Linked DNA regions of Mus musculus. The protein of the gene in region 1 interacts with the protein of each later gene in a pairwise test. Links are inferred from orthologs where the notes say so. Each region holds a gene or a part of one and is shown on either strand. Other genes may lie near its edges.

What was found.
Region 2: the proteins of Dazap2 (region 1) and Rabgef1 interact in binary tests that used the Homo sapiens proteins (3 or more experiments, as listed by UniProt). The two-hybrid records come from large-scale screens. The link is inferred for Mus musculus from reciprocal best matches to the Homo sapiens genes DAZAP2 and RABGEF1.
Region 3: the proteins of Dazap2 (region 1) and Arid5a interact in binary tests that used the Homo sapiens proteins (3 or more experiments, as listed by UniProt). The two-hybrid records come from large-scale screens. The link is inferred for Mus musculus from reciprocal best matches to the Homo sapiens genes DAZAP2 and ARID5A.
Region 4: the proteins of Dazap2 (region 1) and Zc3h10 interact in binary tests that used the Homo sapiens proteins (3 or more experiments, as listed by UniProt). The two-hybrid records come from large-scale screens. The link is inferred for Mus musculus from reciprocal best matches to the Homo sapiens genes DAZAP2 and ZC3H10.
Region 5: the proteins of Dazap2 (region 1) and Tax1bp1 interact in binary tests that used the Homo sapiens proteins (3 or more experiments, as listed by UniProt). The two-hybrid records come from large-scale screens. The link is inferred for Mus musculus from reciprocal best matches to the Homo sapiens genes DAZAP2 and TAX1BP1.
Region 6: the proteins of Dazap2 (region 1) and Clasrp interact in a two-hybrid assay, tested with the Homo sapiens proteins (2 studies listed by BioGRID and IntAct). The link is inferred for Mus musculus from reciprocal best matches to the Homo sapiens genes DAZAP2 and CLASRP.
Region 7: the proteins of Dazap2 (region 1) and Mapk1ip1l interact in binary tests that used the Homo sapiens proteins (3 or more experiments, as listed by UniProt). The link is inferred for Mus musculus from reciprocal best matches to the Homo sapiens genes DAZAP2 and MAPK1IP1L.

Annotation. Positions count from the first base shown.
Region 1 is NC_000081.6:100,614,167-100,618,461, reverse strand, and holds the start of Dazap2 (DAZ-associated protein 2), read right to left. Parts: upstream 2,801-4,295; 5' UTR 2,751-2,800; coding exon 2,738-2,750; intron 2,413-2,737; exon of another isoform or gene 2,140-2,412; intron 1,550-2,139; coding exon 1,431-1,549; intron 538-1,430; coding exon 292-537; intron 1-291. UniProt on the Homo sapiens protein: In unstressed cells, promotes SIAH1-mediated polyubiquitination and degradation of the serine/threonine-protein kinase HIPK2, probably by acting as a loading factor that potentiates complex formation between HIPK2 and ubiquitin ligase SIAH1.
Region 2 is NC_000071.6:130,212,328-130,214,837, reverse strand, and holds the end of Rabgef1 (rab5 GDP/GTP exchange factor), read right to left. Parts: intron 2,005-2,510; coding exon 1,606-2,004; 3' UTR 501-1,605; downstream 1-500. UniProt on the Homo sapiens protein: Rab effector protein acting as linker between gamma-adaptin, RAB4A or RAB5A. Involved in endocytic membrane fusion and membrane trafficking of recycling endosomes. Stimulates nucleotide exchange on RAB5A. Can act as a ubiquitin ligase.
Region 3 is NC_000067.6:36,314,233-36,317,732, forward strand, and holds part of Arid5a (AT-rich interactive domain-containing protein 5A), read left to right. Parts: intron 1-1,976; coding exon 1,977-2,095; intron 2,096-2,971; coding exon 2,972-3,092; intron 3,093-3,377; coding exon 3,378-3,430; intron 3,431-3,500. UniProt on the Homo sapiens protein: DNA-binding protein that may regulate transcription and act as a repressor by binding to AT-rich stretches in the promoter region of target genes.
Region 4 is NC_000076.6:128,544,947-128,549,062, forward strand, and holds the start of Zc3h10 (zinc finger CCCH domain-containing protein 10), read right to left. Parts: upstream 2,801-4,116; 5' UTR 2,748-2,800; exon of another isoform or gene 2,225-2,747; intron 1,946-2,224; 5' UTR 1,882-1,945; intron 593-1,881; 5' UTR 541-592; coding exon 1-540. Other genes in the region: Rpl41 (60S ribosomal protein L41), read right to left, coding at 3,441-3,483, 3,712-3,734, 4,003-4,014. UniProt on the Homo sapiens protein: Specific regulator of miRNA biogenesis. Binds, via the C3H1-type zinc finger domains, to the binding motif 5'-GCAGCGC-3' on microRNA pri-MIR143 and negatively regulates the processing to mature microRNA.
Region 5 is NC_000072.6:52,734,229-52,737,728, reverse strand, and holds part of Tax1bp1 (tax1-binding protein 1 homolog), read right to left. Parts: intron 880-3,500; coding exon 731-879; intron 648-730; coding exon 557-647; intron 1-556.
Region 6 is NC_000073.6:19,587,487-19,590,986, forward strand, and holds part of Clasrp (CLK4-associating serine/arginine rich protein), read right to left. Parts: intron 2,850-3,500; coding exon 2,753-2,849; intron 1,339-2,752; coding exon 1,260-1,338; intron 1,179-1,259; coding exon 1,105-1,178; intron 381-1,104; coding exon 339-380; intron 1-338. UniProt on the Homo sapiens protein: Probably functions as an alternative splicing regulator. May regulate the mRNA splicing of genes such as CLK1. May act by regulating members of the CLK kinase family.
Region 7 is NC_000080.6:47,297,148-47,301,188, forward strand, and holds the start of Mapk1ip1l (MAPK-interacting and spindle-stabilizing protein-like), read left to right. Parts: upstream 1-1,241; 5' UTR 1,242-1,258; intron 1,259-1,628; exon of another isoform or gene 1,629-1,785; intron 1,786-4,041. Other genes in the region: uncharacterized protein Gm35078, read left to right, coding at 836-1,241.

The DNA.
Region 1 (4,295 bases):
ACTCGCTCTGTAGACCAGACTGGCCTCAAACTCGGAGATCCCCCTGTCTCTGCCCCTAAGTGCTAGGATCAAAGGAAGATGCCACTAATTTAATAAGACAAGAAAACAAATCAACCTGATTAACTCTAAAACCAAGGGCTGTGTCCAATGCCCTGATTGGCCCGGCCACATTTCTGCTCTGAGAGGGCAGCAGCTGTGCCAGCCCTGACCACTATGGTTGGAGAATGAATATGAAGTCATTTCAGACTGTTCAAGTATACAAGGGCTGAGCTCCCAGTTAGGCATACTCACAGGAATGTTGCCAGCAGTGGCACCAGCTCCAAATCTGGCACCTGCATCATACCCTCCTTCCACCAACACTGCTGAGCCAGGTGGATAGATGGGACCAACTGGATAATAAGCCATGGGGATTGTGGAGCCTAGAGGCCCAACAGCCACAGACTGGGCCATAGGCAGATACAATGAGGCGCCAGGAAATGCAGCTGACATGGTGGGGACTGTGGCAGCCCCTGGATGAACAAAGCTTGGACGATAGAGCTGAAAGAAGCAGAAGAGAAAGCAAAACATTATTTTTGTGACATTCCTATTTGGAATCTCTTTAAGTATTATTGAGACCATCTCCTGTAGCTCAGGCTAGCCTTCAAGTATGTAGGAGTGGATGACCTTGAACTCCTGACTCTCCTGCTTTACCTCTTGACTATGGAATTAGAAGCCTGTGCCACCAAACCCAGTTCACATTGTGCTAGGGACCAAATCTAGGGCTTGGTGCATGCTAAGCAAGCATTCTACCAAATCAGGTACATCCCCAGCCCCTTGTTTGGTTTTGGAAATGGGGTTTGGTTATACTGGCAGCCTTGAACTCAGCTTCCTCCTGACTCAGCCTCTCAATGCTGAGACTACTCGCCTGTACCACCACGCATGGCTCATGAGTCCATTCTTAGTTGTTTTTTTTTTTTTTTTTTTTTTTAAGATTTATTTATTATATGTAAGTACACTGTAGCTGTCTTCAGGCACACCAGAAGAGGGTGTCAGATCTCATTACCAGTGGTTGTGAGCCACCATGTGGTTGCTGGGATTTGAACTCAGGACCTCTGGAAAAGCAGTGCTCTTAACCATTGAGCCATCTCTCTAGCCCCTTGTTCCTAGTTCTTGTGTTTGCAGATTACACACTGGTTATAGTCACTGGCACACAGTATTCTGAGTCATTTGCGTCCACAGCTACTATTGTGCTCAAGGGACCCAAACTCAGCTTAAGTCAGCATGTGTCAAATAGCATAATCAGATACTGCATTCAATTCCAATGGTAATTTTCACCTTAAGTTCTAGATGATTCACAGAGCATCCTTCTGCTTGTGAAGTCAGATTTGAAGACTTAACAAGGGGATCCAAGAGTGTTCTCAACTAGCTACAAGTCTAGGAAACTGCAGTACCTCTGAATATGCAGGTGGAGCATCAGTATAGGGTGGAGCCTGAGGAAGATGTAAGGTCTGAGGATATACTGGATTCCCAGGAGGTTGCACAGGGTAGGTAGGCTGTGTTGGATATTGACCTGGAATACAAAAGGGGAGGAGAGATGTTGTCTGTCAGATTAGGAGGGGAGGTGGCAAACAGGAAAGATGCTCAGTGTGTGAGACAAAGTGCTGCTCTTCCTGAGGACCCCAGTTCTATTCCCAGCACCCACATATGACACAACCTCCTTTCAACGCTACCTTCTGCCTTGGTGGGCACCTACACTCACACTCACAGACACTTACACAGGCAGAGGCAGGCACACTTTGAATAAAAACAAGTTTGTAAGCAGAGCTACTAGACGGGCCAGGGTGCACAGGGTGGGGAGCAAGCAGAAGAGCTGCAAATAAGGCTGCCTTATTTCTTAGAGCCAGGAAAATAAGGATGGTCTCGGCACCCTCGCGCCCGAAGGTGCTGGCTTCTGACTGGGCAGAAGGCGCCGTTCCCACTAGCATACTGATTGATGGAGGCTAACTTGGCCATGTTCCCTTTCGAATAGAGGGCAGGTCTGAGGACCCGTTCCGGGGTCTCCGGACTGCTGGTGTCTTAGGGGACTCCTCTGGGTGATCTCCCCCGGGCTGTGCTGTAACCAGTCCTGACTCTGTGGGACCCACGGTTCTCAGTGTTTACCTCACGGGTTCCTAGTCAAGGTCGACCTCCAAAGAGTGAGTGACTGGAAGTTAACCGTGAGAAGGGCGGCGGGTGGAGGGGTGGGGAACGCGACCATGTTCTCACAAACATTAGCAACGCACAGGGGCGGCTACGAGTCCGGGCCCCGAGGAGGAAGCGCCAGAAGTCCCCGGCGGGCGAGAACGGGTCCTCGAGGGCCTGGGCCGTGCAGCGGAGCCGGCACCTCAGCAGTTAAGCTCGGCCGAGGCCTGTTGTTCCGAGGCGCGGCGCCCCGCCTCCGCCCGCCCTCCATTGGCTTCCCCAAATCCCTGCTCTAGCTCGCCATTCGCTCCAGCCGCTGTCCGTCACGGAAAAGCCCCCCCACCCCACACACAGGAGCCCGCGGCTCCAAACTGCGCCACACGGTTTATGGGGTCGGGGCCCAGAGGGCCGAGCGGCTGCGTTGTGGGGGTGGAGGGGGGCGGCCACGTCAGGTGCGGCCGCGCTGTGCGGCCCGCTGAAGAGAGCCGCACAGACCGCCCCAGGCCCGACGTCCCCCAGCCCGCTCGACCCGAACCCGCCCGCTTCCCCGACGGCCCCCGCCACTTCCCGGCCTTGCCTTTGCTGTTCATGGTGGCTCTGAGTCCGCTCCCACTCGGCGTCGCGGACGGTTATTTTTCTCGTCCTCTTCCTGTTCGGAGTCACTTCCGTGTCACGTGACGTTCGTCCACTCTGCGTCAGGAGATGCCCGAGTGCGCCGCCGCCGGAAACCCCGCCCCCTCGCAGGCCGGCCAGTCGCGGCAAGGAGGGCGCTCGCGGCCCTGCTCTGCTCGGAAGCCCCGCCCTCCCCGCGCGCTCTGCCCTCACGGCGCGCGCCTCCTCTGGGCTCGGCCCCGCCCCTCCCTGCGCGGCTTCGCCCTCACCGCGCGCTTTGCCCTCACTAATTGCCCCGCCCTCCCTGCGAGGCCCCGCCCTCCTCGCTCTCCCCGCGTTCCTTGCTCTCTCTGCGCGGCCCCGCCCTCACCGCGGTCCTTGCTCTCACCGTGCGCCCCGCCCTTATCACGAGCCACTCCTTCCCGCGCGGCCCCGCCCTCACCGCACCGCTAGCCCCGCCTCCCTGAACGCTCCGCCTTCACCGCGGGCTCCTCCTTTCTGCGCGGCCCCGCCCTCCCTGCGCGACCCCTCCCTCACCGCGCGCTCCTCCTTTCTGCGCGGCCCCGCCCTAAAGAAAGCGGAGTCAGCTCATCTCAGGGCGACTTCCTCACTGTGAGTCGCCTCTGCTCACCAAATTCAGGTGTGAACACAGGCTGTCACGACTCCACAGTGCCTGCGAGACGCAGCCCAGACCTCAGACCTTAGCCTGTCCGCCGTTCTGGTCCTTCCAGGCCTCTTGTTGAGGGCCCAGCGCCTGGCTTCGTGCTCGGAGATGGACCGTGTCCCCGCGCCCCGCCCCCTGTCCTGAGATAGACCGTGCCCCAGCACAAGCTGAGGGGACGCAGCCAGCACCTGCACCCTGGCCTGGCACGTCCTACGGGGACCTGAAAACTCCCTACAGATGTTGTGAGTGGTTTAGCCCGCGCTCAGTTGTCCAGAAGAGTAGCGACGACGTCTCTTAGGACAGTGATCACATTTTTTCCCGTTTCCTCGTTCCAGAATATCTGCTGAGCAACCGAACGCGCTCTCATAGATGCACAGAGGAACCGACCGCCGCAGCTGTCTGCAGAAGTTCGTGTTGTGCGTGGTCAAGTAGATGGGCAGGCTTTGGAGGGAGAGGTCCTTGGTGAACGGACTCCTGATTCGTCCGACACCGAAGGCCTTGCTTGTGTGTCAGGTGTCTATTTAACAGTTTGCGTGGCGTCCTGTAAATGCAGTTTCGTCCAGTCGGCAAGCACAGCAGCCTGAGAGGCTGATCTAGTTCAGCCTGGGGACCTGCGCATGAGTGTCATGGGTTCACGCCGACACACATATAAAAATAAACATTCGAGAAGAAAAGAAAAACTGATCTAAAGGACAGGTTACAGACTTGAGTTTTGTGTTCGGCCTCCCAGGTTCCGGGTCAGTATTTCCATTTTGGTTTCCTGTCAGCACACAGAGCATCCCCTAACTAGGCTGCGCTAACTAAAGGATGTTAGGGAACTCTCTTGGGTATTTTTTAAGTTCCCATTAAGTATTTATAT
Region 2 (2,510 bases), on another chromosome or scaffold:
CACATGAATGGAGGCCATGTTCCCACAAACATGGGGGGGCGCTGCTGGCATCTGAGTACAGAAGGCAGAAATCCTACTCAATATCCCACAATGTACAAGGCAGTCTTGCCATAACAGGAAAATCTTAGACCCCAATGGTCAACTCTGAGGTTGAAAGTTCTGAGAGATGTCTATGTGACCTGCTGACTCTGTTGCCTGTTGATAAGTTAAAGCAGACTATGAAGAGCGCAAGGCATCTGCTTGCTTCACGCTTTGAGAAGTTCCCCCATCAACTTCCAGAAGCCTCATTCATTCCCTACAACTCCCATCTAAGAGCACATCTTTGTATCACAGAATTCTGGGATGATTTGTGTGAAGGAGCTGAGTGTGGTGGTAAGAGACCCCTAATCCCAACATCGGGAGGGAGGCTGAGATAGGAAGATCACAAGTTTGAGGGCTACCTGGGTTACACAGCAACAGCCCGTCCCCAAAGACCCAGAAACAAAACAAAACCAATCAGATAAAAAAGGCAATAGCCCCACAGCACTGTGGGGGAAGTTTATTGGATAAACAGGGAAAGGAAGCTGCAAGCACAGTTCCAAGTCAACTGTACTAATCAGCAACTGTGTGTTCATGTGTGTGTGCTACACATGTATGTAGAGGTACACAGGCACATATGTGGCCATGTGGAGGCCAGAGGGCATCCTTGGCTATCATTTCTCAGGAGCCGTCCATCTTGATTTGTTTGCTTACACGAGGTGTCTCATTGACAGCGATGCCCCCTGCCCCAGGAACTCTGGCTCCCAGCAGAGCTGTCCCAAGTGAGTGTCACCATGCCCAGCTTTTCACCCGGGGCCGGACAGGGAGCTCAGGTCCTCACATCAGTATGGAGAGCACTTTACTGACTGAGCCACCACCCCAGGGTCCCAGAATAATTCTGTATGTGACCTAAAAGTTGGCGTTACAACTTCTTCACATGTACCAGAAAGAATCTCAAGTTAGGGCAGTTAGTGCCAATGTCCTGTTAAAGCTCAAATTCTTTAGATTCTTTTTAGTGGGACAAACCATATAAAATGGCGCTAAAGGCAAACATTCAATAAATTTCATTTTCACCTAAAAAAAAAAAAAAAACATCAGCTCATGAAATGCCATGCACGCTGAGACACCCCTCCCCAGCCCTATGTGTTTTTTTTTTACATATTTACAATTTTACATATTTACTTATTAACATTATCTTCTATCTTTACAATTACAAAATTATTTCACACTGGGGGAGTGTGGGAACATAGAATTCATTTCAACATAGACTTTATAGCATCTGTTTTATCCTTTAAAAGGCAGTGTTTGCCCAAAACCAACAACAGTGTCTACACAGAGGAAGCCCATGGGAAATCAGGCAGGACATAAAAGAGCGACACAGAATTCACACAAACCTACTCCACCAGCTCAAATAAATAGTACATTATTATTTACTAAGCTTCCCCGCTAGAGAAGAAAAAAGAGAATAACCAATCCCTAAATCTGTACCTAAAAACACTTTGAAACTTTAAGCAGTCAGTTCATATTCCGGACCTGAACAGTGGAACGCAGCAGCTCCCAGAAACCAGCCCCAAATAAACAGGGCCGTCACCCTGCGTACACCTGAGGCTGCAGAGGGGGAGGGAGCTTGTCGTTCTCCACATTCTCAGAGTCGATGGCTGCTAAGGGTTGGTTCGGGGGCTTAATCTCCAGTGGGTATTTCTCAACAATGTCTTGAACTTCCTTGGCAATCCCGTCTGTCCAGTCTATTAAGTCTTTTTCAAGTTTCTTGGCTTCGTTCATGATCCTTTCTTGCCGTTCATTCAACTGAGACAGGAGGTCCAAGTTCTTATACATTTGCTTCACACCTAAGCAGGCCTCCGGGGGCCAACTCTCAGACTCCTGCTTCCTGGGGGATGTCTGGCCAGACATGTACCGGTCAAAATCCTCCTGACTTAAATTCAAAGACTGGGCGTCTAATTTCTCAATGAAAGCCACAGCACAGCACTGCAGAGCAAAGAGAACAGCATGGCGGTCAGCAGAAAGGCTGCAAGAATTCAGGCAGAGTTTTCAATCTTTCCCCATTCCTAGGTCTGAGGATTGAACATGGGGCCTCGTGCATGCTGGGCAAGTGCTCTGTCACTAGCTATATATCCTCTGTCCTGTCACAGAGATAATTAGTAGCCTAGGCTAGCCATAAATTTACTAAGTAGCAGCTGGGCGTGGTGGCGCACACCTTTAATCCCAGCACTCGGGAGGCAGAGGCAGGCGGATTTCTGGGTTCAAGGCTAGCCTGGTCTACAAAGTGAGTTCCAGGACAGCCAGGGCTATACAGAGAAACCCTGTCTCAAAAAAACAAAAACAAAAAAAAAAACCTTACTAAGTAGCCAAGAATGATCTTGAATTCCTAGTCTTCTGGTTCCTGGTACCTCTGCTTCTAGAGTCCTGAGACTATAGGCATGGGCACCAGGCCTGGCTGTCCTCTTTACCACAGGGACTCACTATGTAACCCA
Region 3 (3,500 bases), on another chromosome or scaffold:
CAGTTTCTCTGTGTACCCCTTAGGACTGGGAGATCTGCCTGCCCCTGCCTCCCAGGACCTGGATTACAGGTATATGCCTATTCTGATAGGAAAATGGGACGTTCATTTCTGCCCTTGCTGACAGGAAAATCTTCCAGCTTCCTTCGGCAAGGGTTCTCTGAGCTGGAGCAAACCAAGAGTTGGTCCCATTGTACCAGATTAACAAAAAGAAAAGAGAAGTCGTCAGACAGGGTGTGATGGCTCTACCTTCCAGGAACTGAGTTGGATAAACAGATCTAAGCAAGCCACCCTGGCCTAGAGGACAGAGGGCTGCCTCTGCGGCCACTTCCACGCCTTGGGCAGTCAGGACTCTGAAACTCTGGGTTCTGGCCATTGACCTGGTCTACAAGCAAGTTCCAGGACAGCCAGCCGTTTAATTGGACATGTAACATGTAGTTTCTACTACCCTGCTCTAAGCTCCGGTGGACCTAGCTACCAGCTTCCACCCAGGAGCCACCCTAAATCTGTGAATGAAACACACACACACATTAGCTTATTTCTGATATGCTTGAGCTTAGTGTCCGGGCTCTTCTAAGCCTTCCTTGGCTAGTGTGCCCTTCTGTTCACTCCCAGCTCCACACCTCTGAATCTTTCCTCAATTTAGTTGCTCAGTTACCGTTAGTCCCAGCTCAGCACCCTAAATCTGCCCTCAGCTTAGTTGTGTTTCAAATCTCCTGCCTTGCCACCCCAGGCCCAGGCCCAATCAGGGAAGAGGTCAATGGTCACTCAGCCCACTCTGATATCTCACATGGCTGGTGGCTCTTTCTCCCTCTGAAGTATAGCACATCTTTTCTCCTCTCCCTCTAGTCTGCCTGCAGGGAAACCGGAAGTTCCGCCTCTTCCACCCAGCCATTGGCCGCTAGCATCTTTACTGATCGATCAAGAACCAATTGGGGAACAGGACCTTCAAGGTTCACATGCAGATCCCCAATCAGCATCAGAGCCACCCCATTCAGTATCACACGCCTGTAACCCCATCCGGCGGGAGGCAGAGACAGGAGGATTGCTCCATGTTTTAGGCCAGCCAGGGCTACACAGTGAGACATTGTCTCAAGTAATTAATTCATTAATAAATAAAAGATTTGGTCAAAATCTGATGCCTGCTTGCCTCAACACCTGAGGCAGCTTGCCTGATATTTTTGCAGTGGCTAATCTGTGTCACTTTTGCAACATCCTGCCCGGGCCAGGGCTTTCACTAAACAGGGTGGCACTTGTGGCTTCTCCCGAGGCCATCATCACAAGCCGGGAACCCCCATCACTCCCCTTTGTCTGACACCTGTCTTGACCAGGGGCTGGAGGACTTGCAGTTCAGTCATGACGGACAGCACAGGCAAGGACAGGAGGACAGCACAGGCAAGGACAGGAGGACAGCACAGGCAAGGACAGGAGTGCTGGACTTAGCTGGGCCTGGCCAAGGCCATCTGGAGGGAGGGATTACAGCTCTTTGAAGGCTATCAAGAGACCTTGTTATTGAGGTCCTAAGAGCAGTTGGAGGTAGGGGAACTCATAGATGAAGCTATGGTAACATTCACTTGAGCTACTCCAATGCTTTCTGCCTGAACATGGGCAGGTTTGAGAGTGTCCCCAGCACTCCCTATCCAGACTCCTCTGACTTGACCCTGGATGATAATGAAGAGGCTAAGAAGGGTTTCCTGCAGAGATGTAGGGGTGTGGCTAGAATAGAGGAAAGAATAGAGGGTGGCTGCTGGGCCAAGGTGACCCAAAGTGTCTGTGCCCATCTGTCTGTCTGTCTGTCTGTCTGTCTGTCTGAGCACGTGTGTTGCTTAGCGTGAGGTACTGACCAGCAAAGAGCACTCTGGAAGGAATGTGAGCATTTCCTCCTTCCCTGGCTGATGTGAAGGACCACCCCTCAGCCCCTTCCCCACAGTTCCTCCTCACCACAGCTCACCTGCCTCTCCTCTGCTCCCCTTTCCCAGCAGCACCTCCGGCCAAAGGGAACACAGAGCAGTCAGAAGAAGGTGACCTCCCGCAGCTTCCTGTATCCCCCAAGCCAGATGATGAGCAGAGCAGGAGCCAGAGCCCCACCCAGCTCCAGGTGAGTTAGACAAATCCTGGGAGCTCTTCCCTGCTGAGCTCAGCCTCCAGGGAACCTGAGACACTTCGAGCTCTGAGAGGGAGACAGGCGTCTCTGCCTCATGCTGCAGAGCTGCCTGGAGCCCCACCTCAGAAGGTGCGGGATATGGGTGCTAGGCAAGGCAGACTAGGTACGACAAGCCACTGCCTCACCCAGACTTGTAGCAGAACCCTGATAATCTAACAACCTGGACTCAGTCACAAAATGGACAGACATAAGTCTGAGGGGCTAAGAGATGCTCCCACCTATTGGTCAAGCTGATAGTTGGAAGCTGCAGGCCCCCTGGTACTAGGAAACACTGTGTGTCTGTGTGCATTTAGCAGTTTTGTGTGTGTTTGGGGGGGACAGGGTATCTCTGTGTAGCCCTGGCTGTCCTGGAACTCTCTCTGTTGACCAGGCTGGCCTCGAACTCAGAGAGTTCTGCCTGCTTCTCCTGAGTGCTAGGATTAAAGGTGTGTGCCACCACTGCCTGGGGCGCATTTGGCTTTTACCATACGGTTGAGGGACTCTGACCCTGCCTTCCAGGAACTGAGTTGGATAAAACAGATCAAAGCAAGATATAAAGGGGGTCCTGACCTGGAGAACTGAGGCCTGCCCCTGTGGCCACTTCCAGGCCTTGGGCTGCCAGGACTCTGGGACTCTGGATTCCAGCTGTTGACATGAACCTGGGCATTAAGCCCAGGTTGTACCCGTGAGAGCCAGGACAGGAGGCAAGGTGCTCCCAGGGAGCCCACAGATGGGGCCTAGGCACTCATTCCTTCACACAGAGGCGGTTTCCCAGTGCCCAGCTGCCCATCAGTGGGGCCCGCCCATCCATGCCTCCTGCTCTTTCCCCAGGACTCCCCTGAGGCAGGTGGGGAGCAGGAGGAGGAACAGGCCTTCCTGGTCAGCCTCTACAAGTTCATGAAGGAGCGACACACGCCCATCGAGAGGGTGCCCCATCTTGGCTTCAAGCAGAGTGCGTCCCTTGGGGGGGGAGGATGGTGTTCAGGGCGGGTAAGTGTAGGGGGGCAGCAGCCAGGGGATGTCCCCAGGCAAGACAACAGGCAAGGCACCTCTGCTAAAGGTGACCCTGGATGCCGCCAGCCTGTAGGGGTTGCCTGTGAGGACGGTGCCTCCCTGAAGGCGAGGGGTGGAGTTGGGTTCTCATCCTCATGGGCAGCCTGCCCTGTCCATAACAGTGGTCCTGCCTGGGAGTGTGGGGTCACAGAGCCTGACCGTCTGCCTTGCCTCTTCCCTTCAGTTAACCTGTGGAAGATCTACAAGGCAGTGGAGAAGCTGGGGGCCTATGAGCTGGTAAGGAAGGACTCTCTCAAGTCCCTCGCTGTGCTCCAGCCTCAGCCATACCCCCCAGCAGGAGCTAGGG
Region 4 (4,116 bases), on another chromosome or scaffold:
GCCTGTGGAGCCTCCACCTCCAGTGCCTCCTCCACCGCGAGCATCAAACTCAAAATCCCTTTGCAGGTGACGAAACTTGCACTTGGCTCCTCTCTGACAGTCACCTTTGAGGAAGTCGCGGCAGATGGGGACCTCCTCCTTACCATTGGGTAGGTCGGCGGGTGAGAGACCCAGCCCAGCGGCCACTTTCTGCCTCAGCCGGGGAGGCAGCTCTCCTGTCTTCTTATAGCCATCCTCATCCTCCTTGGAGCCGTGGATGAAACGACAGTTGGGGCGGCTACACTCCTTGTTTTGGAAGTCATGGCAGAAGATAAATTCATTTTTGCTTACCCCCAAATTGGATACCTCACTCATGTCTGGGTGGCGGTATCGACATCGCTTGCCTCGTTTGCAGACGTTCCTCAGGAAGTCTCTACAGATGGCATCTGAGGTGGCTCCCCCGCTGCCTGTCCCTGCCCCACTGGCCTCCTCACTGCCACCACCTCCAGGGCCTCCACCGCTGCTGCCAGTGCCGTTGGCATAGCTGTCCCGGTCAGGCATCCTGGTCCCCCCCAAGTCAGGGTCTTCTTCCTTTTCTTGCCACTCTTGGCGACTGTTAAAAAAGAGAACTGTGTCAGAAAGGGGTCCTCCGGAAAGCTCCCTCTCTCCTGACCATACAGTGGGCAGGCTTCTGGGGCAATGGCTTTGGGAGATGGAGAATCCAAGGAGAATTCTAGCTAGCCCGGCTGACTTGCCAGAAGTCCCGCCCAGGCCCTTATGCACCTGGTCTTGTTTGGAGTGATTCACACTTGCCTGGCTAACACAGGAGGGAGAGAGCTGGGATGAAGCCACTTCATCTTACTAATGATGCTCAGCCAAGGAGGGGGAGGGAAGGGGAGAGTGTTAGATTTTTACCTTCTCTCATTTAAGTTGTGAGGGAGAAACTAAAACAGGTGTTGGTGTGTGAACAGACTGACACTGGAAAGAGTGCTCTAACACGGGCTGCTTAGCTTTGAGAACTCATGGAAGAAGGAACACCAGAAACAGAACTTCCCTTAATCCCTCTTCTACGTAAACTCAGCTCAAGTCTCCATGTATTTTAGAAATCCCTGGTTAAACAAAACAAAACAAAACAAAACTGGTGTCACTAGCTACAGGGTAACCCTGAAACCTGTCCATCTCCCAGTGTGTTCCACACACAAACACCCTCATTTCATGGAAAGACGTTCTGAGCTGAACTTTCTACTTTTAGATCCCCAGGACGAACTGTTCGAAGGACAAGGTGGAAAGGAGTTACTTTCATAGGAACGGTGACCTTTCTTTCCCCATTCCCCACCCCACTCCATGAAAATCCCACTGATATCAAACCATAGCACTCCTTACCCCATAAAAATCCTCTTTATTTATAGACTCTATAAAAGCTTTTTAAGTCTCCTGTTTCTCAAGAGAGCTCTGGAATGTCAGTCCACTGCCCTAATTCTAGCCCTCCCTTCTCTCTAACCCTGGGAGTCTAAGACTGGGAGTCCCTGCTACCACGTGTCTAATCTTTTAAATGTTCCCTGAGTAGGACTCAGGCTCCCCCTACTGTTCAAATAAGAGAAGTTCCTAGTTTCCGTTTGGGAATAAAGATACCTTTCTTGATTTCCCGTTTCCTTGACTTCCTTGACTTTGCTAGAATAACTAACCAGATTAGAAGTCAGAGATGCACAGGAATACACAAGATGGGAAAAGGAGCCCCAGAATATAAGAAACAACTGGTAAGAAACAAGCCCTTAAAAGATCATAAATGACGATCAGGTGAAGACTAAATGCCTTCAAAGCCTGACCAATGTTTCAAGTCCCACTAGAAGCAGATAACTGGATATGATAGCCTTCCTCACCCCAATATCCCAGAATTAATACCTGAGGTAGCTCAGGTGAAGTCCGGGGCTCCCGTGAGTCTCCACCTCCACATCACTGCTGGGTTCTGAACAAGAAACAAAAAAACAAAAAACGGAGATTTGAGTAGAACAAGGGAAAAACGTGAAAGGGATATGATGTGGTTTTCATACACTGGAATGAATTCTGACAAAAAGCTAAGAGCTTTGTGGCTTTTAGGCTCCCTTAAGAGGTCAAAGTGAACGTCACCTATCACAAGGAGAAGTCCCTATTAAGAAGGATAAGGGCTAGAACCGACCAATAAAAATTGGGAAGCTGAACTAAAAAACAAAACAGTTCCTGGTGAGGAAGGTTAGCGGAGCTTTACCTCAAGATGAGAAGGATATGGGGTTCAGAATCCGATCTAGGGTTGGAGTTCGGAACGCCAGCCAAACCTGAAAGCTGGACAAGGGCAACAACTGACTAGTGTCAGTGGGAAGGCGAGACTAGACTCGGGGGCGGTGATTACGACCATCCCCCAACACCCTAGAGTTCACGAAAAGTCCTACGAGTTTCCCTGGAAGTCTTCTGGCTTGGCCGGCTCCGCGATGCGGTGCCAGCACTCAGCGGTGGACCAGGTGACTGGGACACTGAGGAAGTGAAAGGGGAGGGGGGCTCGGGGTGACATCAGGCGGAGGGATGGGCAGGGCTGTGACGTCACGGGGCTGGCGTTTGCTTGGGAAGCGAGGTCAGTGAGAAAAGGGGCTCTGTCCTGGGTAACGAGGAAGAGCCAGGTCGGTTCCGGGGGGTTTGGGGGAGGCTCGTGTGGCCGGGCAGAACCCAGTCGCTGGGCCATCCCCGACTCCTCCCCTCCGGGCGCGGCCTCCACCTAAGTCTCCCGCCTCCCTCACCTGCCGCCGCCGCCGTAGTTGCTGCTGCCGCCTGCCGGTCCTCTAGCTTCGACAAAGAGCCGCCCACCCTACGGTTCTTCCGCTTCCTGCGGAAGAAAGAGACGCTCTAGCTACCAGACCCGGAAACACACTCTATGGTCCAACTTGCGTGCTAGTAGGCGCAGGAAGCTCCCAACAAGCCTTGCGCATCACCATGGTAACAGGACTCCGCCGGACCCGGAACTCCGCTCAGCGTCAGGTTCTACGCAGTGGTACCCCCAAAACGTAGGAGTGGCGCTGTGAACGCACCAACTCTGTAACTTAACCTCGGGCGCACACTCAACCGGCTCCAGCCAGATCAAACACCCAAACTATGTCGCCTATACAGAAACACACTCGAGTCCCCACCCCAAGGAACCGCAAAAAAACACGTAACAGCAGTTTGATTCTTCAGCTGACTGCAAGAGGGTTTATTGTACACGAGCTACACTTGGCCACAAGAGAACAGAGCTAGTCCAGAGTGCCGGGGGTCCAGGGCAGAGGGACTGTTTTGGTTGTAAGAAAGGCGGTCATTTCTCCAGGCGATCGCGGCGAGGTGACGTTCCAGGTCTACTGAGACTCATTACCGATGGCAGCACACAGTCCGATAGCTTGTCCCGGCCCTCAGCATCCCTCACTTCTGCTCCTGCAGGCGTCGTAGGTGCACGGGCTGGCTTACTTGGACCTCTGCCTCATCTTTCTTCTCTTGCGCTTCAGCCTGGAATGGAAGGCACACAAACCTGAGTTTTTTTTTTTTCCTTTGCACATCTATCAATACGTACACTTAGTGCACGAGTACAAGAGACGATGAGATTAACAAGCACCAGCTCTGCTGTACTGGGCGGCGACTCCTGCTTCCTTCCCGCCAGATATTTTCTTCCAACCAAATATCCCACACCGAGCTTGCCCCCACTGCCCCAAGGTAGTCTTGAAAAATTAAACGTACCTGCGCATTCTCTTCTTCCGCCACTAAAAAAACCCGATCATGTGAGGAGACAAAAAAGAATGTTAGAGACAGGCTTGTGCAAGGCCATGAAACTGCTCAGAACACAGGGCTTGACAAAGGACACCGGTTCAGTTTTAGAGCCGAATCCCTCATTTTCCCACCCCATCTTTTCTTCAGCAAGAATTTTAAGCCTCTCCCTGACTGCGAACACCCGAGGCAAACCGTCTGGAAGCCCGCAGAGGAACCATGGCGGGGACTAGGTGCCCGATTCACCACCTAAGAGCCGCTCACCTTCGCTCTCATGGCGCAGGAGTCTCTAGAGAGAAAGAGGGAAAAATGCCGTTAGCCCGCTGTGATGATAGTGAATGTGGAGGTCGGATGTTAACGGATTGCACTGGAAACCCG
Region 5 (3,500 bases), on another chromosome or scaffold:
TTCTGCATGCCCACACTTGTACATACAATCACGGATGTTCATGTATATACACAACAAATAATGTAAAAAATATTAAGCATCATCACTGAAAATATGTATATTCTTAAAAGGTGAGAACACTTTATAGAAATTCTGATAAACAACTATCCTGTCATCACTAAGCTTTCATTTATTATACAGTACCTATTATGTATCTAAAACACCAGCAAATTTCCCAAATACTGCATTTCAGGGACAGTATCCACTATCGTAATCTCGTTTCCTTCCCATCTTGGACTGCTCACTCTGAAGTCAACCATCATAATTATGACACTCAAGAGGCCTTCTAGAGACAACTGAAGAACCTCCTTACAAAAGCTATGAGGATCTCCCTATTAAAGCATGGTCAACCATGGAAGTACACTGTCCAGGCCCCCCATTAGCTGACTACAGTCCTTGTCATCCTCGTGACTATAACGAGACAAGTGACCAGGCACCCAGCTGAACTGCTCTCCAATCCCCAACCCCAAAAGCCCACTGGGGCTAAGCAGAGGCCGACACTAGAAAAGGACTTTACCTTATACAGCTCCTTCTCATCCTTTTCTGTCTGCAGCTGACATTCAAGCTGCTCTCTCTCATGCTGTGCCTTCCTGAGCTTATCCTTCAAACTGTGTAAGATGAAAAAACATTAGTCAAACCCTAAGTAGCTTTGTTAATAACCGAAGTGATTTCTTTAAAATACCAGGGATACCTGTCTAGGTCAGTTTCTTTTTCAATGGCTTTATGTGTCACTGATACAATGTCCTCTTCAAGCTGTTGAACTTTAGCTGTAGCATCACTGTATCTCTTCATAAACTCTTCGTTTTCCACTCTCAAACTTTGTGATACTTCAAGAAGGCCCTTAAAGACAACAATAAAGTATCTTTCAGTAAAACAAAATTGTGTATACTTCAGAGAGCTCTCTTTTAGAAGGAGAGACAATGTGGTAGCACTAGCGCCCTTAATCCCAGTACTTGGGAAGCAGAGGCAGGCAGATCTCTATGAGTTAAAGGCCAAACTACTCTACATAGTGAGTTGTAGCACAACCAGGACTATGAAGAGAAATCCTGTCTCAAATAAATAACCAAATAATAACTTGGTTTTTCAAGACAGTGTTTCTCTGTGTAGCCCTAGCTGTTCTGGAACTCACTCTGTAGACCAGGCTGACCTCAAACTCAGAAATCTGCCTGCCTCTGCCTCCTGAGTGCTGAGATTGAATGCAGGTGCCACTATTGCCCAGCCTTAAAAGGGGTCTCCTATCTTTTGGGTACCAAGAATATACGCATTACCACTACATTTGTCTCTGATTTCTTATCATTTCAATCCCATATTTATTATCTCAAATTGTATAAACCAAGACTATAAAATAAGCCTGAAATTCTAACATTTAAACTTTCATATACTCAACCTTTTGTGTTTTTGTGAGTATATCATATGTCCATGTGAAAATATGCACACATGTATGTATAGGGTGTGCAAGCATCAAGCCTTCCCCTATCATTCTACAACTTTTTTCCTTTTGAAGCATGGTCCTTCCCTTGAGCTTAAGGAGTTTTCTTCTTGATCAGGCTGGAAGTCAGAAAGCTGGCTTGAAACTGGGGTTACAGGCTTTGCAGTGTTGCCCAGCTTGTTATATAAGTTCTGGGATTTTATTGAAAGGACGCAGATGTAGCTGTCTCTTGTGAGACTATGCCGGGGCCCAGCAAACACAGAAGTGGATGCTCACAGTCAGCTAATGGATGGATCATAGGGCTCCCAATGGAGGAGCTAGAGAAAGTAGCCAAGGAGCTAAAGGGATCTGCAACCCTATAGGTGGAACAACATTATGAGCTAACCAGTACCCCGAAGCTCTTGACTCTAGCTGCATATATATCAAAAGATGGCCTAGTCGGCCATCACTGGAAAGAGAGGCCCATTGGACTTGCAAACTTTATATGCCCCAGTACAGGGGAATACCAGGGCCAAAAAGGGGGAGTGGGTGGGCAGGGGAGTGGGGGTGGGTGGATATGGGGGACTTTTGGTATAGCATTGGAAATGTAAATGAGTTAAATACCTAATAAAAAATGGAAAAAAAAAAAATAAGTTCTGGGATCTAAACTCCAGTCCTCATGATTACAAATGCATTTAACCACCAAGCCATTTCTCTAGCTCCCAAGACTTTTGTTTGTTTTGTTCTCAAACAATGTCATGTAGTGAAGTCTGACTGAATTTGTGATGCTCTTACCTCAGCTTCCTATGTGTGAAGAGCATAAGCATGCACCACATGTCTAGCCCTTACTGTTAGCACATCAATTACTAACATAGGTTTCTCACCCCTGCTTTTCATGCACTTTTATTTCACTAACTTCTCCACCAGAGGGCAGGAAACAAAAATTAAACAAAAAATTTTTTAATTAATTTGCTTTTTGGTGTTTTGACATCTTACTTTTATTACGTCAGTGACAACTCAGGTCTCATAGGACACTGTGGAGGTTAAGACCCACTAAGTGTCATACGAGCACTACAACACATGCCTGTATCTAAACCATTGCTCCTAATGAACTCAGCATGACTCAAAGACGAAAATAAATATCCAAGGCTGTTACAACATATATAAAAATAAAATAGAACCTTCTTTACACAGATACTTTAAAGCTTAAAATATCTTCATCCCATAAATTATGACAAGCATCTAGTAGCTTATGAAAGCTTGATCAAGGTCCCCGCTAAGTTTCTCTCCTAGCTAATTAATAAAACTTTGGCTAAAGTATAATAAGGTATACAAAGGTGCTGTTATGGAAAACTATATGCCAAAAGAACTGATAAGTCAAACTATTTCATTTTCTAAAAGCTGAGTATGATAGGACATATCTCCAATGGCCAACACTCAGGAGACTACGTAAGAAGATAAGCAAGCCTGATATCAGCCTGGTTTACATAAGCAAGACCCTATCTTAAAGGAACAAGATGGAAGACAAATGAAGGAGGGTGGAAGAAATTAAGAAACACTGCACTAATGACCAAATTAATAATTATTAAGTAATAGGGCCTTATTGGCCAGAAGAATAGAACAAATACAACTTAAGAGAAAATTCAATCCATCCATAGGCATGAAGCTAGCCATCTAGCTATAACATTGAAATTGTGAGGCATATTTTTCTACAACTAAAAGTTATTTTTGTGAAAATTATTACATAAATCAATGACTATAGTAAGTAGTCACCTTTTTTTCTACAGATGTTAGTTTCAAACTCAAATCCAGTTTTTTACATATAGTCATTTTTCTTTGCTCAAGAAAAAAAAATGGCTACCTTAACTAGGTGGGGATTTTTTGTTTTCTTTGAAGGGTAATTTATCACCTTTCTCTCATTAAGAATTTCACATTTTTGTCTCACAATGTACTCAGGTTACTGACTTCTGCCTTGTTTCTGCTCCTGTTTGAGTGTTCAGGGCAAAGGCTATTGCTATTATGTAGCCTATTCTGTTGAGAACCTGGTCACAAC
Region 6 (3,500 bases), on another chromosome or scaffold:
TTCCTGCTTAACCTGGAGAGGAGGTCCTCAGCTAATTCCAGCCCATGAAACACTGAGCCTAGTGGGACTCCCTTTAGGGAAAAGCAGGCCAACACAAAAGGCCCCACTCCCTGGCCTTAGCAGAGAGTGAGGGGAGTTTCTCACTAATTCTGGGAGTCGTGTGTTAAACACACCCAATCTCTATGCCCCTTTATGTCCTAAAGAGATTCTAAATTAAAAAAAAAATTTGGAAAAACAAAACTGATATAGACCCAACCCCTATCCATAGACCACAGGATGCCATCTGTAACAGGAGTGACCCAAACAGGAGTGACTTCTTCCAGAGCACTGACACTTACCGCTTATAGGGGTCATAGGTGGGGCTGTCTCGGCGGGCATAACTATGGAGAGAACAGGGAAGGGCAGGAGAGCTGAGACCAGGCTGGCTAGTGTCAACTATTCCACTCTGAGCCCCAGTGCTGCAGATTGTACACCCCATGTCATTGTGGGGATCCCACATTGGTCTCCTTATTACAGCCCTGGTGCTGCCAGTGCTACACTGGAAGCCATGGTGACCAGTACCCAGCATGGTGACATCAGTGCTGGCGAGAAAACAACAGTATGTCCAACTAACTCAGTGCAGTATCTGAGTCTGAGGATTCACACTCTTCATAGGGGAGGAGCGGTCCCTGTGAGGGTAAGTAACGTCCTCTGGTGGCAGTGCCCTGTGTGGAGGGGCCTGTGGCCTGCTGCTAACCTTACACTGTCACACCCAAACCTTCCTCAGACATTTGCCCAGGGCTCCCAGGCCCAGATTCTTCTCTACTCATATGCAACTGCTCTCCCAATCCTCTCAAGACTTCATTGTGGGAAGTAGCCTCTCTCCACTTTACAATGGAGGAAACTAGCCAGAAGAAAGGAGCCTCTTATCTAGACCCTGTAGAGATGACACTGACCAGTGCAGGTGGGCTGTGTTGGGCCCAGCAGGTTGACTGAGAGGTGGGGGGCAGGTGGCCCGGGAAGCATTCCCATGCCTCCAGCTACTCCTAGCTCTGTAACTGTCGCCCCACTGCCAAGGCTGGGCTCCACTCTCCAGCCCCTGGCTGTGCAGAGGAGATATCCTACCTGGGAGGGCTGATCTTGCGGCCTCTCAGCCGCTTCTCCCGGAACTCTCTTCGCTGTCGCCGGGAACGACGGCCCTGGATGGGGAGGAAGCACCAGGACGGTGAGGTGTGCCCTCACTGGATCCACTTTTACCCCCGAGCCCTACCAGACCTCACCGAGTACATGGCTTTCTCCTCCTCCAGGGCTTTGGCATGTTTGATGGCCTCTGCCTCCTCCTTATCTTTCCGTAGCATCCTGCAGAGGAAGTTAGGATGGGCATGAAGGGCATAGGTCACAGAGTGGGCAGAGCCCTGGTAAAGGCAGCAAAGACAGCAGGGACCTGATGTTACTCCATGATTCCTTTCTCCCTGAACCAGGGCTCTGCTGTAGGCTAGCTGGTCTTTAACTCACGGTGAAATCCTTGTAGCCACGGGATGTGCAGGCAGGCATTACCCTACCCTTTCCTTTTCTGTTCTTCCCTTTGATGGGGTCTTGTTCTGTTGGGCCTAGCTTTGAACTCATAACCTTGCCTCAGCCTCAAGACTGCAGAATCATAGGTATGCGCTATTACACTTAATTTCCCTTCTGTGTTTAATAGATTTTATTGAGCACCTAAAAGAGCTGGTTTTAGACCTGATTTCTGTGTGCTCTGCCTGTGCATGTGTCTGTCACATGTGTGCCTGGTGAATGCCCTGGAACTGGTTGTGAGGCACCCTCACAGTTGGCACTCGGGGCTGGAGAGATGGCTCAGAGGTCAAGAACACCTACTGTTCTTCCAGAGAACTTGAGTTCATTTCTAATCGCCCACATCTGATAGCTCACAACTGCCTTTAACTTCAGCTCTAGGGGATCCAGCGCCCTCTGCTGGCCTGCACATGATGCACAAAACTATATATAGGCACAACACCCATACACATAAAACTCAGAACAAAACAGAAAGGAGAACCCCACAAGAACACTTTAAAAACTGTGTGTGGCTACTCCATGCCTGTAACTGTGAAAGGCAGAGGCAGGAGGATGGCTGGGGCTGGCCAGCCATCAGCACAGCTCCAGGCTCTCTGCTTTGGGCTGAGTAGTGGGGGCAGCAACAAGCACCTTTAATCCTTTAAGGGCAAAAGCACTGGAGCAGCGGCCCTCAGCCTGTGGTCCTGTCACCTTTGGCAAATCTCTATCTCCAAAACATTTACATTACATCAGAGCACCACAAAGATTAGTTAGGAAGCAGCAGTGAAAATACTGTTATGCTTGGGGTCACTACAACATGATGAACTGTATTAAAGGGTCACGGGGTCAGGAAGAACCTCTGAGCTAGAGGGTTCTAATAGGCCAGGGCAGGGACCTGGGGATTCATCCCCAGTGCCACACAAAAATGGTTTCTGGTCTGTCGGTGCCACTGATGTAAAGAGAGTGCTTGGTGTGGCATGACCAAGTACAGGCAGTGGCAGAGGCTTGCTCACTGTCATATGAACATGCATAGGGATGACCACTAGAGGGTGCTGTCCCCAAAGAACTAGTAGCTTCCAGGTCACGCTGTAGGACAAGATCTGTTTCTGCAGAAAGTGGGGCTACAAATTCATAGCTCACAGGCTGAGAACAGATGCTGGTAGCAGGCATGTGATACAGAAGCCAGGGCATAGCCAAAATCTGGCATGCCAGCCAGCACTCTCACCTGACAAAGTCTCCATCAGCCATGCCGTAGGTTGTGGCCTGCTTATTGAGATCAGCCACCTGCTCCTGGTTCAGCTCATCCACATCCACCTCCACGTCTGCACAAGAAAAAGGCTGTCAGGGACCCAAGCCCCAGGAGAGGGGGGAGGAGCACCCCAAGTCGGGGCAAGTCTGCCAGATAGAGCACCTTCAGGGAGAATGTTGCTGTGCTAGCACAGCTCTGAGGACCAAGCTGAGGCTTGGCCAGCACAGCACACAGCACAGCAGGGGACCAGTAGGGTGGGTGGACGAGTCTGTGGATGGAGTGCACGAAAGACAAGATGGGAGGTGGAAATAGATGGAGGTGGGGTGGGCAGAGAGCGGCACACAGAGGAAGGGCAGGAAGGACACACATGAACTTTGGCTCTGGCTGGGGCTAAGTCTGCATGTGCACCAGGAAGAGTAGGATAGAGACGGGGCAGTGACAGTCTTCTGGCCAGGCACATCCACAGGAGAAGGAGGTAACCATGGGGTATGAGCGATAGAAGCTGAAGGATGGGGGGCAGCTCTAGGAATGGGGAAAGTTGCTTTCCCAGAGCAAAGCAAGGCCAGCCTACGTAGAAGAGGAAGGGCTAGCTCCTAGGTGGAAGAATCTTCTAGAACAGTGCCCAGAAATGGGGAGGGAGAGCACATGGGATAGGGGACAGGCAAGACAAGGGACAGGGAAGGCTGGAAGTAACAGGAGACTGAGGCCCTGGAGCTGGGGTAGG
Region 7 (4,041 bases), on another chromosome or scaffold:
TTTCTGGTATGTCAGTTTTGAGTCTCCCAGAAACAGAGGCCAGTCTCAAAAACCCAACACCTCTCATCTTACAGCAGTGGCTTATCAACCTTCCTAATACTGTGACTCTTTAATACCATTCCTCATGTTGTGGTAACCCCCAACCAGAAAATTAGTTCATGGCTACTTCATAACTGTATTTTTGCTACTGTTATAAATAATGTAAATATCTGATATTCGACCCCTATGAAAGAGTCGACGCCCAAAGGGTTCATAAACCACAGGTTGAGGCCACTATTCTTAATTTAAAACTTAAAGGGAATCAGAGATAGCTTATTCTGGACCCATTTTTGAATGATGATGGCACCAAAACACAAATTTAGGTTACCTCAAATTCCATGTCCCAACATGGAACCAGTATCACGAGGTTTTTAGTTTTACAGAACAGAGAACGCTATAAATCAAGGCAAAGTTTAAAACACACTGGTGGATGGATACATTGGAGGGTACATCAAGATAGAGGAAGCTTTTCTATACATCTAAGACATTATCCGATGACATTCTTAGCTTTTGGATTGGCAGAGGCTAGTTGCCTGTTAATAGACCTAAAAGGTTTTTAATCTTATTGCCACAAGATATTAGTTTTGACACAGAGGTGGCTATTCTGGAGGGCTAGCACTAGCCCAAGATAAGGTAATTAGCCCCTGGACCTGCAACATTCCAATCTTTCCACAGTACTGAAATTCCAACTTATACAACTCAGTCTCTGCAGACATATGCTTTTAAAAGTTTTCATTCGCAAGACCTTTAGAAAGACTTCCCTTTTCCCTCATCTCTTTACCCTCGATTTTAACAGGACTACTGACAGCCAGCTTGGAGCCTGTCTACAAAAACCTCTAAACACAGAGAATCCAAACTCCGCTTTCAGTCCCTGGGTTGCGGTGAGCATCACCGGCCAGGGGGTTTCCTTTGGGTCTTTTGGACTCAGGAAGCAGGGAAACCTTCCCGCGCTCCACCCAGAGGGAAACAGCCCAGGCTCCCGGAGCCACGCGGCCCTGCCTGCAGTTTCGTGGGCGGCCGGCTGGAGGCGCAGTGCAAGCTGGGCGGGGCGGGCGGAAATAACGGGCGGCCAGGTCGGCCTCCCCGCTTCCTTTTCCGGTGCCAGGAGGAGCCGTGTCGCTGTCGTCTCGGTCCATCAGGCCTTCAGCGGGTCTCCATTGCCCGTCTCTCTGGACTCACCGCCGCCACTGTGCCGCGCCTAGGACTCGGATCCTGCCGGGTGAGTCCGCTTGGGCGCCTGCGGCGGGGCGCGAGGCTGGCGGGAGACGATGCGAAGACGCGGGGTCCCGGGGGGCCTGGCGGCTCTAGAGCTTTCGATGGGGAGGGTCCCCCGGGAACCAGGCGACCGAGGGATCTAATGTCGCGCCCGTCGGGTTCCGGGGCGCCCACGTCATGCCAGGCTTGGGCGGGGGCGGGCGGGGGGTGAGGGGTTAGGCGGGAGCGGGCGACCCTCCCCCACATCCGCCTGCGTGACCGGCTGGGGGCTGGTTCGCTCCGGTTGATCCCGGATTCCCTTTGTTCCCTTAACCCTAAAGGGCAGCTTGTTTGTCCCCCACACCCCCCCCCCGTCCCCTTGCCCCTCCACCGGTATCCCAGCCACTAATTTCTAATAAAAACGACAGTGGAGGAGACCCGAATCCTTACAGCAAGGTCTGGCGCCTGATAATTCTGTGTGACAAGCTTCTCGCTGATCGTAATTACCCATTCTTTAAATGACTACGGGGGACAGAAGGTGCCATGGGCTGAGTGAGTGACGTTCTCCTTTGAGCTAGCTAGAACGCTTGAACCATTTTTTTTCCTCCCTGCCATGAAAACTGAAAGTAATGTTTTCACGAATCCTAAAGTTGAAGTATCTAAACCAGACCCCACCGTAGATGTGTAACAGCCTACTACAGAAACACACACGTGTTGCCCCCTCCCCCATGTGCGAAAGGCCTGTTTGGAGGCCAAACCCTCAGAAGCTGGAGTCGCCCTCGGAAGTCTTTGTTAGTGGCGCTCCTTGGGTGGGGAGGAGGGCAGTTTTTAGTCGTGGAGTATTGGAGCCACTCTCTAGAACACTTCCCTTCAAAAACTTTTTCCTGCAGCTGCCGAGGTTGGAATGTTCTTTTTGATTACAGAAGGAATCGGTGTCATCTTCATTCTCCCTACAGAGGTTGAGCGTTGGGCTCAGGAACCTTAGGAATTCAGCAATCTTGAGATTCTGTGACTGTTAACTATAGAGGAGCCCTAGACTCGGGGACTGTTAATTAGTAATATTTGCACAGGGTGAGCCTGTAGATAAGTGCTAGCCCGGCTTGCTACAAGGTCCTAAATTCAAGTCCCAAAACTTTAGGGAAGGAAAGAAAAAAATTCAGCAGTTGTAACTATTCAGACTATAGCGGGGAGTGGGTGGAAAATGAAATGGATAAATAATGTCGGGTCAGCTTTTGCCACCAAATAAGTTTGTGCAGTACTTAGGAAATTGCTTTTTTTTTTTTAGTTGCTCTCTGCTTTGAAAATAGACAAAGGTTTGTGGCCATATTGTATCGGTTGTAAAAGCTAACATTTGTTGAGTTTTTTGCTCAGTGCCAGGCAGTGACTTAAGAGATTTATTTACAGATTAGTATAATAAGCCTCAGCAAATCTCTGGAAAATACCCATTTACTGCCATGTATGGGACTCAGAGAACTGGATTTGACCATAGGCCAGGCAGGCAGTCTACTCTGGTGGCTTTTTTGTTCTGTGTTTAAGTGAGAAGGAGAAGATGGGGCTGCAGTGTGGAGAGAGATGGCTCAGGTTGAACACATGCACTATTCTCGCAGGGGACTGGAGTTCTGTCCCAGCATTCACAGCCACGTATAACTCCAGGACATTAAGCACTTCTAGCCTTCTGGGGAACCTCCATGGAAGTGAACAACCCCGTGTATAGTTTTTAAAATGTTAAGAATGGCAGGAAGAGAGAATTGGACATTTGTTGCTATTTTCCAGTTTTAGTCACTGGGTCAGATGAAGTCCTGTTTAGTTCCTGTATAGCATGACAGCCCATTCTAACTTCATGAAGAAACTGAGGTTGACTCAGTCAAGTAAGCTGTAAAGCTATTTAGCACTCTTGTCCAAAACCCTCTGCTAAAACGTCTTACTGCTTTCTGGTATTCCAGCCAATTTGAACTGCATCTGCTTTCCCCCAGACTGGTCTTCCTCTGGTTTTATACAAACTGTTCTTACCCCGGAGCCTGTCTTTAACCTAATACTCTAGCTTTTATTCCAGACTGCAGAGATACCACTTCTCAGGAATGTCTATGCCATGCCACTAATTACTCTAAAGCTTGGGTTCCAATTAATAGGAATACATTATAAGAGCTCCTACTATGATGTTCAAAACATTCCAAGCTTTTTTACTTACCCAGTTATAAAATGGAATATAATCTGATAAATTACCCAGTACTGATCCAGAATCTGCTTTCAATATAATATATACTAATGTAATGCCCAAAATTAACCTGTAAGCCTCACCCTTCCAAGAACCAGGTAACTTCCAGAATGCTAAGAGTTGTAGTTCTTGGAAAACAATAAAATCTTGTGGGAAAGTATGGGGGCCAGTGAGTTTTGTCCAGAAAAGCCCCTCCAACATGTGTTTCCAGGCCACCCAGCTGGAGGTGCCAGTTAGTGGTCCTGGCCAAAGTCCATCTCTTGGTCAGTATTTAATATCTAATAAAGCTTCCTTCAAATTTGGCCCAAAATGGTGGAATTGGTTTTTCTCTGGTAAATCTCAGAATTAACACTGTCACACTCACCCATACAAAAATCATAGAAGTCCTGATTTTCCTTGATTTCTCTGAATTTATTTATCCATATGGTCTCACTGCCTGTGTCTTTAGATTCTTGAACTTCAGCTGGTGGTGGGGTATCGAGGAGGCACGGCTTTTACAAGATTGTTAAGAGCCTTGCTTTTGTCCAGAAGGTTTAATGTTCGTGTTTAAATATGGGGTCTTATATTATTTGGTCTCCAGTCAAAGTTTGGTG